Caenorhabditis elegans: one gene and its partners. The protein of the gene in region 2 purifies or fractionates together with the protein of the main gene of each other region. This does not show direct contact. Each region holds a gene or a part of one and is shown on either strand. Other genes may lie near its edges.

Region 1 (3,752 bases), on a different chromosome or scaffold from region 2:
GCTCTTCGAGAGCCTTGAATCCTTTGCTGATGAAGTGTTGGCACCACTGGAAAAATTCACTTTTTAAAGAATTTTTTATTGATTTCTTGAAGTTAAGAGTATAAAAGGAAAAATTAATTCAATTATCGAATTCAGTGCATTAAGAGCTTAAAAAAGTATAATTATAAAAAGTATTATAAATATATAAAAAGTATAATACACAATAGCTACCGCAACCCTGAGGGGTTTCGTGGCAAGACCCCAATATGGGTATCATCTTGAAGCTCTTGGTGAGCTGAATATAAAATTCGTATTTGAAAATCTAAAAAGTTAGGTCTCGACGAGGAAACTGCGAAGTTTTTTTTTTCAAAAAAAAAAAACAAATTTTTATATAAATTTTTTTGGAATTTTTTTTAGAAATTGCTTTAAATTTTCAGATTTTTAGGAATTTTTTTACACCTACAAATACTAACTACTCTATAAAATTTTTTTTGAACTCACAAAATCCCCATAGCCGGGCTCTTTCTCATTGAGCATCAGGTAGATCGGCTTGTTTTGCAGAGGCTGGATATTTGAGGCGATCTGAAATTTTTCTATTATAGCAAAATCGAGAAATTATTTCTGGTCTCACCGCGAAAACAAACCTACCTATTTTGTGGGGGTCTTGGTGAACTTAATTCGAATTTTAAAAATTTTAATACGAAAATAACACAGTTTAATATGTCTATAAATGCAACAAACATACATGAAAAGCAATAGCTCTCGCGCGAGCTTTGAGCTCGGGCTCTTTCGGCAAAAGTGGTGGGTCTGGGTAGATTTCATCGAGATATTCGATTATTGCCATGCTTTCTGTCAGAGTTAGACCGTTGATTTTCAGAATTGGAACTTTTTCCGCAGGATTGTTCCCATGGAATTCTTGCTGAAAATGGAAAAACTTGGAGTTAGGAGCAAAATTTAAAATTTACCTCTTTCTGTTTGTTCAGCAAGTTCACGGGTTGATATTCATAGTCGATCTTTTTCAGAGCAAGAGCTGAAAAAATTTAAAAAAATCCCATATTTTTTTTTGTCTTCTGAAGTTCAGTTACCTGCTTAGATATAGACCTCAAAAATTCCTATATTTTGTTAGTTAAAATTTTTTCGATAGCTCTTCTCCCCGCTGAGATATGCGCGTTTTAAGTTTAGGCAGCGAGAGAGTGTGGAGGGAGGGGAGACGCAGGTGGCACTAGTTGTCTGCGTCTCTCCCCCTTCCACAATGTTTCTTCACGTCAACTTTAAAGGCGCATAACTCTGCCGAGGAAAGAGGTACGAAAAAGTTGTAAACTGGCAAAATATAGCCCTTAAAATATCCAACATTTTGTTGATTGACAATTTTTGATAACTTCGCACTCTGCAGAGATATGCGCCTTTGAAAATTAGACAGCCTCTGCGTCTCCCCTCCCTCCATACTCTCTCACCTTCTTGACTTTAAAGACGCATAGTTCAACAGTAAATCAGGATTTACAGATTTTTTTTTGGAAAACTCACCAGTTCTAACTCTTGACGAACATCCTGAACTCCAAGAGGAGTACAATATAGGTTTTGCTGCCATTTTCTAAAGAAAGTCAATGTGTTTGTGACAATTTTGGAGAAAAGTGATAGTGATGAATGATAATGAATGATAAAGGTCAATAACATGTTTAGGTGAGAAATCGGTGATGTTTGGTAGCAAAACACAAGGTGTAATGATGTTTTAGGTGTAACTTTGCAATGAAGAAAGTTATCAAAAAAATTGTTGACTATTAAAATATAGCCCTTGAAATTTCCTATATTTTATTGGTTGACAACTTTTTTTTAACATTGATAGAAACAGAGATACAAAGGGCTGAAACTGCACGGGTTGTTGCCTGCGTCGCTCCCCGCCCATTCAGTACTTCTTTTTTCAAACGTTAATATCTCTGCTAGGAAAACTGTTCTAGAAAAGGTGCAAACTGAAAAAATATAGCCCTTGAAATTTCCTATATTTTATTAGTTGACAACTTTTTCTAAGTTTTTTTCCCTGCAGAGATATGTATCTTTGAAAATTTGTAGGTGAAAGAACGCGCAAATTTTTTGATGTCTAACTTGTGCCCAATTTCTTACCACAAAACATATTCTGATTATGTTCTCTGACCTGATGTTTGCTCATATCTTATTTTTTCAAATAATACTGGTTTCTAGTTGGAGGCCCCGAAACGTTAAGAAAAAAAATTTTAGGAAAAAAAAAATTGACTTTGATCATTGCCTCCTTATCAGTTTTAACGTACATTCCATAATTTCTTAACATTTTCTTATCACTAAGTGACTAAGTTTGCTCTGAGAGCACATTTTCAGCTAGCAAACCTACATTTTCTTACAATTTTCCCTCGAAATTGTAATTTCGAAACTCTTAAACGGGTAACAATCGAACAAGAATCAAAATTTTAACCAAATTTTAACAATTCAATGTAGCCCTCAAAATTTCCTATATTCTGTCAGTTAAAAACTTTTTATTTCTCTTCTCTCCGTTGAGATATCCGCCTTTAAAATTGACGCCATAAAATAGTGTAGAAGGGGGAGAGACGGAGACAGCGCGCGCTGCCTGCGTCTCCCCTCCCTCCACACTTTCTCGCTGCCTAAACTTTGAACGTGCATATCTCCGCGGGGAGAAGAGCTATCAAAAAACTTTTAACTAACAAAATATAGGAATTTTAAATGGTTATATTTTGTTAGTTGAAACTTTTTGAAAATCTCTCTTAGATTTTGAGATATTTCGGTTTCAACAAAGAATCACTGAAAATCGCTTTTGGATTTGAAATAAAGCTATTTTGGTTCAGGAAATGAAGCATTTTAGGAGAAAACCGCATGATATATTAGAGGACCACATTTTGATCTTTCAAATATTGCTTCCGGCAGATTTATACATTTTTATATATTTTTGTGGATGATTTCAGGGAGATTCAATTTTTTCCAGTTTTTGTAGATAATTTTAATTGCCCCATTCAAAAATGACTAACCAAACTTCCAAAAAACCAAAAAAAAACAAGAGACGATACGCAGAGTACACTGCGATAACATCTGCGTCGTCGTCTCTCTCCACACATTTTGAGAGACCGAGCGACGAGAGAGTGACAATTTGTGAAGAGAGTGGTGAGACGACGAGACACTATCGAATCGCCACCCCCCACACGGACGTATTATACAAGCAAAAAGCCACGTTTTGAATGGCTTAAATCGATTATAAAGTTGACAAACTGCTTGGTTTTTAGTCTTTTTCTTGAGTTTCTTATCGATTTTAAAGGAAATTTGTGGATTTTTATTGGTTTTTAAACAGAAACTAATAAATGCATTGAATTTTTCACTATTAAATGGCTGAAATTGCTGAAACAAACTTTTCCGCTCGAGACCCATACGATAAAACTGCCCCATGCTCCTTTAAATCCACAGTACCACTTTTTTCTTCTTTTTCTTTGGTTTTCTTGTTTTTTCTGTTTTTTTAAAGAAAAATATAAAATAGATGTTTTCCGATGAGTTTATGAAATAAACCCAATTAAAACTAATAGTTTATCAATTTTTAAGCAAGAGGTTTTTTAAGCTCGCTTAAAATGTCAAAAAATAAAATTTCCACTCGAGACCCATCATACAAAATTGTGTGATGCGCCTTTAAAACCACCGTAGCTGTTTCTCTCGATTTTGATTAAATTTAATCGATTTTTATAGAATTTCTGCGATAAAAATGCGATTTTTTGTCGAATTCCTTAATTTTCAAGTCTTTTTTC
Region 2 (3,752 bases):
ACAACCTTTCCAGTTCCTGCAAGCTCGGCGATGTACTTGTAGAGTGGGAGTCCCTTGTGTACGGCTCCAGCCTTGGCGACAGCAAGTGAAACTCCGAGAATGGCGTTAGCTCCGAGGTTTCCCTTGTTTTCCGATCCATCCAAAGCCATCATGAAGTCGTCAATGTCCTTCTGTGCAGTGACATCGAATCCCTTGGCGATCAGAGCTGGAGCGATCTTCTCGTTGATGTTCGAGACGGCCTTGAGAACCCCCTTTCCGAGGTGAACAGCCTTGTCACCGTCACGAAGCTCGAGGGCCTCATGAACTCCAGTAGAAGCTCCAGATGGAACTGCGGCACGGAAGACTCCTGGAAACAAGAAATGATGTGATTTCGGAATTGCGTCATAATGTTGAAATATACTTCATGAAATTTCAGATTTGAATAAAACAAGATTAATCTTATTTTATTCAAATCTAGATTGGTTTTTCAAGTTTTGATAGAATTTATACAATGCTCGCTTACCTTTCTCAGTGAAAAGATCAACCTCAACAGTTGGGTTTCCGCGGGAGTCGTAGATTTGGCGAGCGTGGATCTTGGTGATTGGCATCCTGCAAAATGAACTATATGTTTTCAATAATCAAACAAGTATATAAAACTACGTGAGAAACGGGCACTAGTAAACAAAACAACTGAAAAGATAAAATGTTTGAGGCGAGAAGGGGTAAAGGAGTGCGAGAAGAAAAAGGCGGCGCCGTCAATAGACGGCGCAGAAAGTGGAAAGAGTGACGAAGGTCGCACGGAGGACACGAGACTCAGAGAAAATGCAGCTGGTTAGATGTGTTTGTGAGCGGCCCGAGAGCGCACGTTCAATAGAATCGCACGGACAGCCTCTTTTTCGTGGCAGTGAATAAAATTCGTTTGTAGATCTCAAAGAGACGCAGTTAAGATTCGAACTGAAGTTACAAAAAAAAGGCATTGCAGATTCACTAAGTTCTTGAACACTTCTAGATATTGAGAATTATGATTAAATTCGTCATGCCGAGAAGAAAAGAGGAGCCAATGCCTTGGGCTCGAAAACAAGTGAGGGGCCAAGGACGCCAGCAACTGCCGCTGGGGAGAAGCGACGACTTGAGCGGCTGCCTTTCGCCTAAATACGTGACTTACACGAAGTTTCAGATTGGCAAAGCATGCACTTCAGATTGGATTTGAGAAGCGAGTTACCAAATGTTTTTTATGTTCAGTGGTCAGTTTTAGAAGTGAGAAGAAGTGATAAGGTCTGATATGAGAAGAAATTGTTGATTCGGAAAATTTGCAAAACATTTCGGAAAAAACTTATTTTTGAAGAGAAACACAACTATTTTCTTTCTAACTAAAACACCTCAAAGCTTGCGTGTTGAATTTAAAGAAAAACGTTAGTTTGCACACACTATTGTTCAAAACCATTGAACAAGTCAAAATGAAACATAAAAGAAAAGTAAACATCAGTCAACGTTTTGGAAAAAAGGCACGGCAGACCCCATTACCCTGATTCAGCAGCCAAAATTTTGCAGATTGCGTGTGGAAGTCGCGGGAGCATGAAATCAACTGGCGGAAAATAAAGAAAAAGAGATAACCAAAACCTTTGTCCAGACAGATTGCTTTTCGAAGGCTGCCCGCCACCTCGAATGAGCGAAGTGAGCGAGTGAGCTGCCGAGGTGAATGGAACAAACATTTTAAATCAAAAACTGAAATAACTTGCGTAGAGCAAAACTTTAGAGGAAGATCAAAACGTGAAGAGGTCAAAAATATTTTTTTCAACGTCAATTTTATTTACAACAATAAAAATCGATAGATCAAACAAAAAGAAAATAGGTCTAAAAATACTAAATATGAAACTCTAATACAAAAATGAACCAAATTATTTTTTATTGTCGAATCCTAGTGAATTGCTTTGTTTTTAGGTTGTATCGTTTATCAGTGTATTTGTCCATTTGATTAGCAACTTCTGGATCCCATGGCATATTCTTGTCAGGACGAGTGTAATCAAATGTCTGAAAAATGCCGATTTTAAGTCAGCACTGAAACTTTAAAAATTACCTGATCATCATAATCGAACCATTCTTTTTTCGGTTGGAACTGTCGAAGTAGACGTTTCTGTCTCAGAGAGAGAACTTCACCACCTGATCCTGGGAATGCAGTGATTCCACCATGATACATGTGAGTGTCTTCAGGATGGAAACGTGCAGCATGCTCCATAATCGAGACGTTTTTCGGTTTGTTCTCATCGCGAGCCATTCTATAATTTATTTTAATTAATAATTCAATAAGCATCTTTAAACAAAAACTAACTCTGTATATTTTGTTACATTTTTGACAGGCGTCTGATAAAATTCGACGACGTCTGCCACTGTTTCCAAATGAAGAAGTTTTCCATTGGTTGGCCAATGTTCGATGGATTTTCCCAGCCTGTTCAACAACTCGAACTTTACAGAGTTATCTCCTTCCACAAATTTGTACTGATCCACGTTTTCAGACTTTACTCCAGCACTTCTTAGACATGATGACGCTGCTTCAAGTACTTGGTTTTTGACATCAACGCCGGGAACATAGTTTTGCGTGTATTTGAGAAAACCTCTGGCCCGGATGGCATCCGTGTCGATACGGCTCATCGTCAACAGATCATCGTCAAATTCAGTGACAGAATCAGCTGAAGCAGTAACTTGTGTGGATTCTCTAGCACGGATGCTGGGAAGCGTCTTGCGAAGGCTCTCCTGTTCTTCCAGTGTCAGCTGCTTTACTGCTTCCTTTTCCCCGGATTTTCCAAACATTCCTTTCAACAAGTTACCTTGCGATCGGACAAGCCTCGGAAAACTCCTGTGCATCTTTTGGCAGTTCTAAATTTTTTCTTTTAAGCTTTTTCTTTTCTCTTTAATCAGAAATATAAAAAATCAGATAAAAACTGGAATAAAATACATTTCAAATATTGTACCTTTTGTAAATCGCACTCCATTCATTTTAAAAGGAAAACAAATCAACAAGCAAAAACACGCGGTATTCTCGAATATTAAATTGAAAACGGGGGCATATAAAAACGGTAGGCAGAAGCAACAGAAAGTGTATCAAATTCCATCAAAAATAAGAATGAAGGGGACGAAAAAAAACGAGATACGATTGTGTTGAAGCACTCGATTAAAAGCTGAAAAAGGGAGAATAAAGTTGAAGATCTTTTAACAGTCTGGCGAACAATTTGATTAGCATGGTCGGTTATCTTGAGCACGGGCACGTGGAGCTGCCTTGATGATATCGTCGACGCGAAGAATTTGTTCCGTGGCTTCAGCGGCGGAAGAAACCATGCACAACTTCACATTGTAAGACTCAATAACGCCCAATTTCGTAACATCAGCAACCTCTCCTTTCTCGATGTCTGAAAGATAATTTTGTATAATGGTTAGATTTCCAAATGAACAAACCGATTCCCATATTGTGACGTCCATTGGCGTGCTCTGCACGGAGTCTTGTGACAAGTTCAGCCGAGTCAAGTCCAGCATTGTCGCAAATGATGGTTGGCAATTGAGCAAGGGCTCTTCCGAAGGCTTCAACGGCAAGGGCTTCCTTACCCGCAACCTTTTGAGCTTCGACGGCGATGGCTGAACTCATCAAAATTTCGCTCGCTCCAGCTCCGGCAACAGTCTTTGATTCTTTCACGTGAGTAACGAGAACACAAAGGGCATCATGGAGGGATCTTTCGGACTCATCAAGAATCTGCTGAGTTGCTCCACGAAGAACGACTGAG
Region 3 (3,752 bases), on a different chromosome or scaffold from region 2:
TGGTTTCGAAAAAAACACGCGATAATTGCTCCGAGCACAAAACTCTTCTCTCACTCTCTTTCTCCGTCGATGGGAGATGAAAATGAAATAATCGAGAAGGCATTGAATTGGCAATGAATTTACTAGAAAACAAAACGGGGGAATACAATACATTATGATAAAGCTGAAAGTGAAATAAAAACTGTTTCTGTGTTTGCTCTGGGAATGGGAGTTTTGAGGGAAAGATTACGCGGAAGAAAACCGAATTTCATCGTTGTACTCGTAGAAATCAAGGTTTGGGAGAAGGGAGAAGGGGGAAGTTTGCAAAAAAAAAATAGAGAAAAGCGGGAATAAATACGAATCGAACAACAATCGATAGAGAGAGAAGTATTTAGTATCCAGCATTGTTGAGATAGGTTTGCATACTCTCGACAGCCTTGCGAACTTGTGCAGCAACTTCATTTGGTCCCTCGTAGACAGCAATCAAGACTGCAGACTTGGTCTTCACAGCGAAGAATCCAGTGTTCTCCTTTTTTCCGAAGATGAGCGATTCTTCGGTACGTGGAACGACGTAATGAACTCCTTCGATATCGGCTCCTTTTGCTGGAACTTGAGTGACGTCATTGAATAGGGCAACGAAGGTTTTGAGCTCTTCTTCGGATGCCTGGAAATTGGAAAAAATTAGAGAAGTTTTTGGACAGGAAATATTTCTTGTTAAAAAATTTGCGCTTTGAAATTTCCAAAAATTCGAAATTTTAAATCCAGTAACCCTAAAGTTAGCCTTTTTCCCCAATTTTCGCATTTTTAGGCCTCAAAACACTGAAATTTCCAAAAAAATCGGCTTATTCTTGGCCGAGATACTGGAAAATCACAAATTTCAGTCTGTGAATTTACATTTTGCAGGAAAAAATCTTCGAATTTTAATTTTTTTTTTAACGCTTTTTAACTCTAAATTTTCATGAAATTGAAAAATCTGAAAAAAAAAAGTTTAGAAAATTCCAGAGTAGGCAGGCTTCAGGCGGCTGAAATACAAGTAGGCTCTAATGTAGGTATCAGGCAGGCCACCTCGAAGGTAGTCAGGCAGGTAACTTGCCTGACCTTCAAGGTAGCCTAAGCCTGTCTGCTGCCTACTTGGGTTTCGAAGAAGTATAAACTATATGAGAAACAGGGGCTGGTAGGCAGGCACGGCCGCCTGAAGCCTGCCTAATCTGGAATTTTTTAATTTTGTTCGAAAAATAATGAAAATTTTGCAATTTTTGAGTGGATTTGCTAATTATTCCTGTAAAATGTAAATTCAGCGGCTAAAAATTTCGATTTTCAATTCAAAAAGTGAATAATTTCGCGAGATTTTCAGTTTTTTGGGTCAAAATGCGAAAATTCCAACAAAAATCGACCCCGCTAGCTCTTTTCAATCTCAAAAATGGGTCAATTTAAGGATTTTTCAATCGTTTCCAGTTTTAATCGATTTTTTCTCGAGCTTCTTCGATGATTTTCGTCCATTTCCATACCTTGAACACATTGTCAGCCTCAGTACGAGCCCAGACAGATCCATCAGCGGCTCCGACGATTGCACACCGTTTGATTGATGGAGCAGCGGCAGTCATTGTGTCGATGTAGGCATTCCATCCGGACATTTTTGTGTTTTGGAGGAGGTTGAAGCGGAGATTATACTGAAAAAATAAACATAAATTATGATTGAGATGGTTGGAGGGGTAATGAGAAATGATAATATGAAGAAAGAGCACAAATTAGGAGAAAAAGAGCATAAAATCGCTTGAAAATTACGGTTTTTGTAAACAATCGATTATTTTTTGATTTACTGCGCAAAAAATGGAATTTTAATGCCGAAATACCCAAAAATTGATATTTCCGCAGATTTTTTGCTTATCTGTGGTGTAAGTTGGTGGCGAAGAACTTGCGAATGGATAAAATGACAAAAACCAACAAAATCTCACTAAATTCACAATTTTCTCGCCAATGTAGTGCAAAAATTGAGCTTCTTTCATGAATTTCTTGGAAATTTTCTGTGAATTGAGCCGATTTAAACCAAAATTGGCATTTTACCTAGAGTTGACCAATTTTCGATGATTTTCAGACCATTTTCAGGCCAAAAAGGCGGAATTGAAGCTCGAAAACACCGAAAACTACCAAAAACTACGAAAATAGTAAATATTTCGAGTTTCAGATGTAGAAAACTTGGAAAAATTCAGCTTTTGGAAGATCTCGCCTCGAGAAATTAGGACCAACTTAAGGGAGAATTCTTTTTAAAAAAGCAACGTTTTGAGGCGAATTTTCAACTACTAGAGGATTTGAACTATCTAGAGCAATCTGAGAATTTAATTTCACAAGAAAAATGGCATAAAATCGCCAGATGACCCAAAATTGAGAGAAATTAAAGAAAACTTCCAATTTCAAATTCCGAAAGATGAAAATTGCTACGAAAACTAGAGGACATCTTTGACCACCCGGAACACTCCATCTAATTGGCTGGGCAAATGGAGAAGCAGTGAATGACAGTGAGGAAAAGCAATAGAGAGAAGAAGAGAAAGAGAATGTTTGCATGCCATCTGGTGCTCTCCTTCTTCCCCTTTTCAACCCGAACAACGAGCTTGTGCTCCTGCTCCTGCCTGCTTGCTCCGCTGGTCAGTTATTCACCCATAAAGGACGAAAAGAGAGACAGAGACCGCCCATCAAATTGAATGTGTGTGTACTACTAAAAGAGGGTGAAATAACCCGCCTCAATCCATACTAATGTCAAATGCAGTTGCAATTTATATTGAACACACAGACCCAGAGACACAACCAAAGCCAATGATGAATCATTTTGAAGAGAACACAGCGAAGACGACGGAGGAGAAAGAGAACCAAAAGGCGATAGAAGACGAGTTGCGAAACAATTCAATTTGAACAAAGCTTTCTAGCTTTGAAAATTGCGAAATTGAGCGCTGAAAATGGATCTTAATGCCGAGAATGACCAGTGGATTGCGAAATTGGAATGGTGAGTCACATGGAACAGCAGGTCGCCAAAAATCGTCGAGGAAGCTTCAAGTTGTTATAATATTCGCAGTTTTTTCTGCCAAGGAGATCTGAAAGTCATTTAGAAGAAAAAAAATACATCAAAATGCTCAAAAATCATAAAAATATTCGAAATTTTGATGATCGAAGCCCCAAAAAAGTCACGAAATAGTCAAAAGAGCCGCGAAAAACAGAAATTTCGTAGCATTGGCCGGATTTTTCTATAAATATTGCAGAAAACCCGAAGATTTTGTCAGTAAATCGAACGAATAAACTCCAGAAAGCGGAAAATGGGGAAAATGGGGAAAATTTTACATTTTTCTACAAAACACTCACTGTGAGCTGAAATTTCATCAAAAAAAATAGGAAAATTGAGAGTTTTCTAGTCGAAATCTTACGCTATGTGATAATTTTTATAGCTTTTTTATTTTTCTCGATTCACGACGTTATCGGATGCCGAAAATTGATAAAAAACTCTTTCTGAATCACCTATTTCCGCTCCTTCCTTACAGTTTTAAAGCAAGAATGGAACGAACTGAACTTTCCGGAAGAAAATAGGGTGGAAATCAGGAAAATTAGCGAATATTTGCTAGAGAATGAGGAAAATATATTCTGGCAATAACCGAGACAAAACGCGGAAAAAACTGCTGGAAATATCAATTTTGGGAGAAAACGCGAGAATTTTGTGAAAAACCTGCGGAAAATCGGTAAAAACGTCACAAAACCGGCCAAAAAAGTGGAAAAATGAAGAAATTGTC

Evidence for each region.
Region 1: the proteins of enol-1 (region 2) and Y53G8B.1 fractionate together in Caenorhabditis elegans (co-fractionation; one large-scale study listed by BioGRID). This does not show direct contact.
Region 3: the proteins of enol-1 (region 2) and pfn-1 fractionate together in Caenorhabditis elegans (co-fractionation; one large-scale study listed by BioGRID). This does not show direct contact.

What each region holds. Positions count from the first base shown.
Region 1 is NC_003281.10:3,127,160-3,130,911, reverse strand, and holds the start of Y53G8B.1 (maleylacetoacetate isomerase), read right to left. Parts: upstream 1,636-3,752; 5' UTR 1,568-1,635; coding exon 1,504-1,567; intron 1,010-1,503; coding exon 945-1,009; intron 899-944; coding exon 725-898; intron 562-724; coding exon 481-561; intron 47-480; coding exon 1-46.
Region 2 is NC_003280.10:8,928,942-8,932,693, reverse strand, and holds the start of enol-1 (Enolase), read right to left. Parts: upstream 1,692-3,752; coding exon 1,600-1,691; intron 589-1,599; coding exon 503-588; intron 347-502; coding exon 1-346. Other genes in the region: mrpl-50 (Large ribosomal subunit protein mL50), read right to left, coding at 1,885-2,010, 2,057-2,255, 2,309-2,841; cct-2 (T-complex protein 1 subunit beta), read right to left, coding at 3,211-3,383, 3,430-3,752.
Region 3 is NC_003279.8:12,919,901-12,923,652, reverse strand, and holds pfn-1 (Profilin-1), read right to left. Parts: upstream 1,650-3,752; 5' UTR 1,614-1,649; coding exon 1,488-1,613; intron 644-1,487; coding exon 371-643; 3' UTR 105-370; downstream 1-104. UniProt on the Caenorhabditis elegans protein: Binds to actin and affects the structure of the cytoskeleton. At high concentrations, profilin prevents the polymerization of actin, whereas it enhances it at low concentrations. By binding to PIP2, it inhibits the formation of IP3 and DG.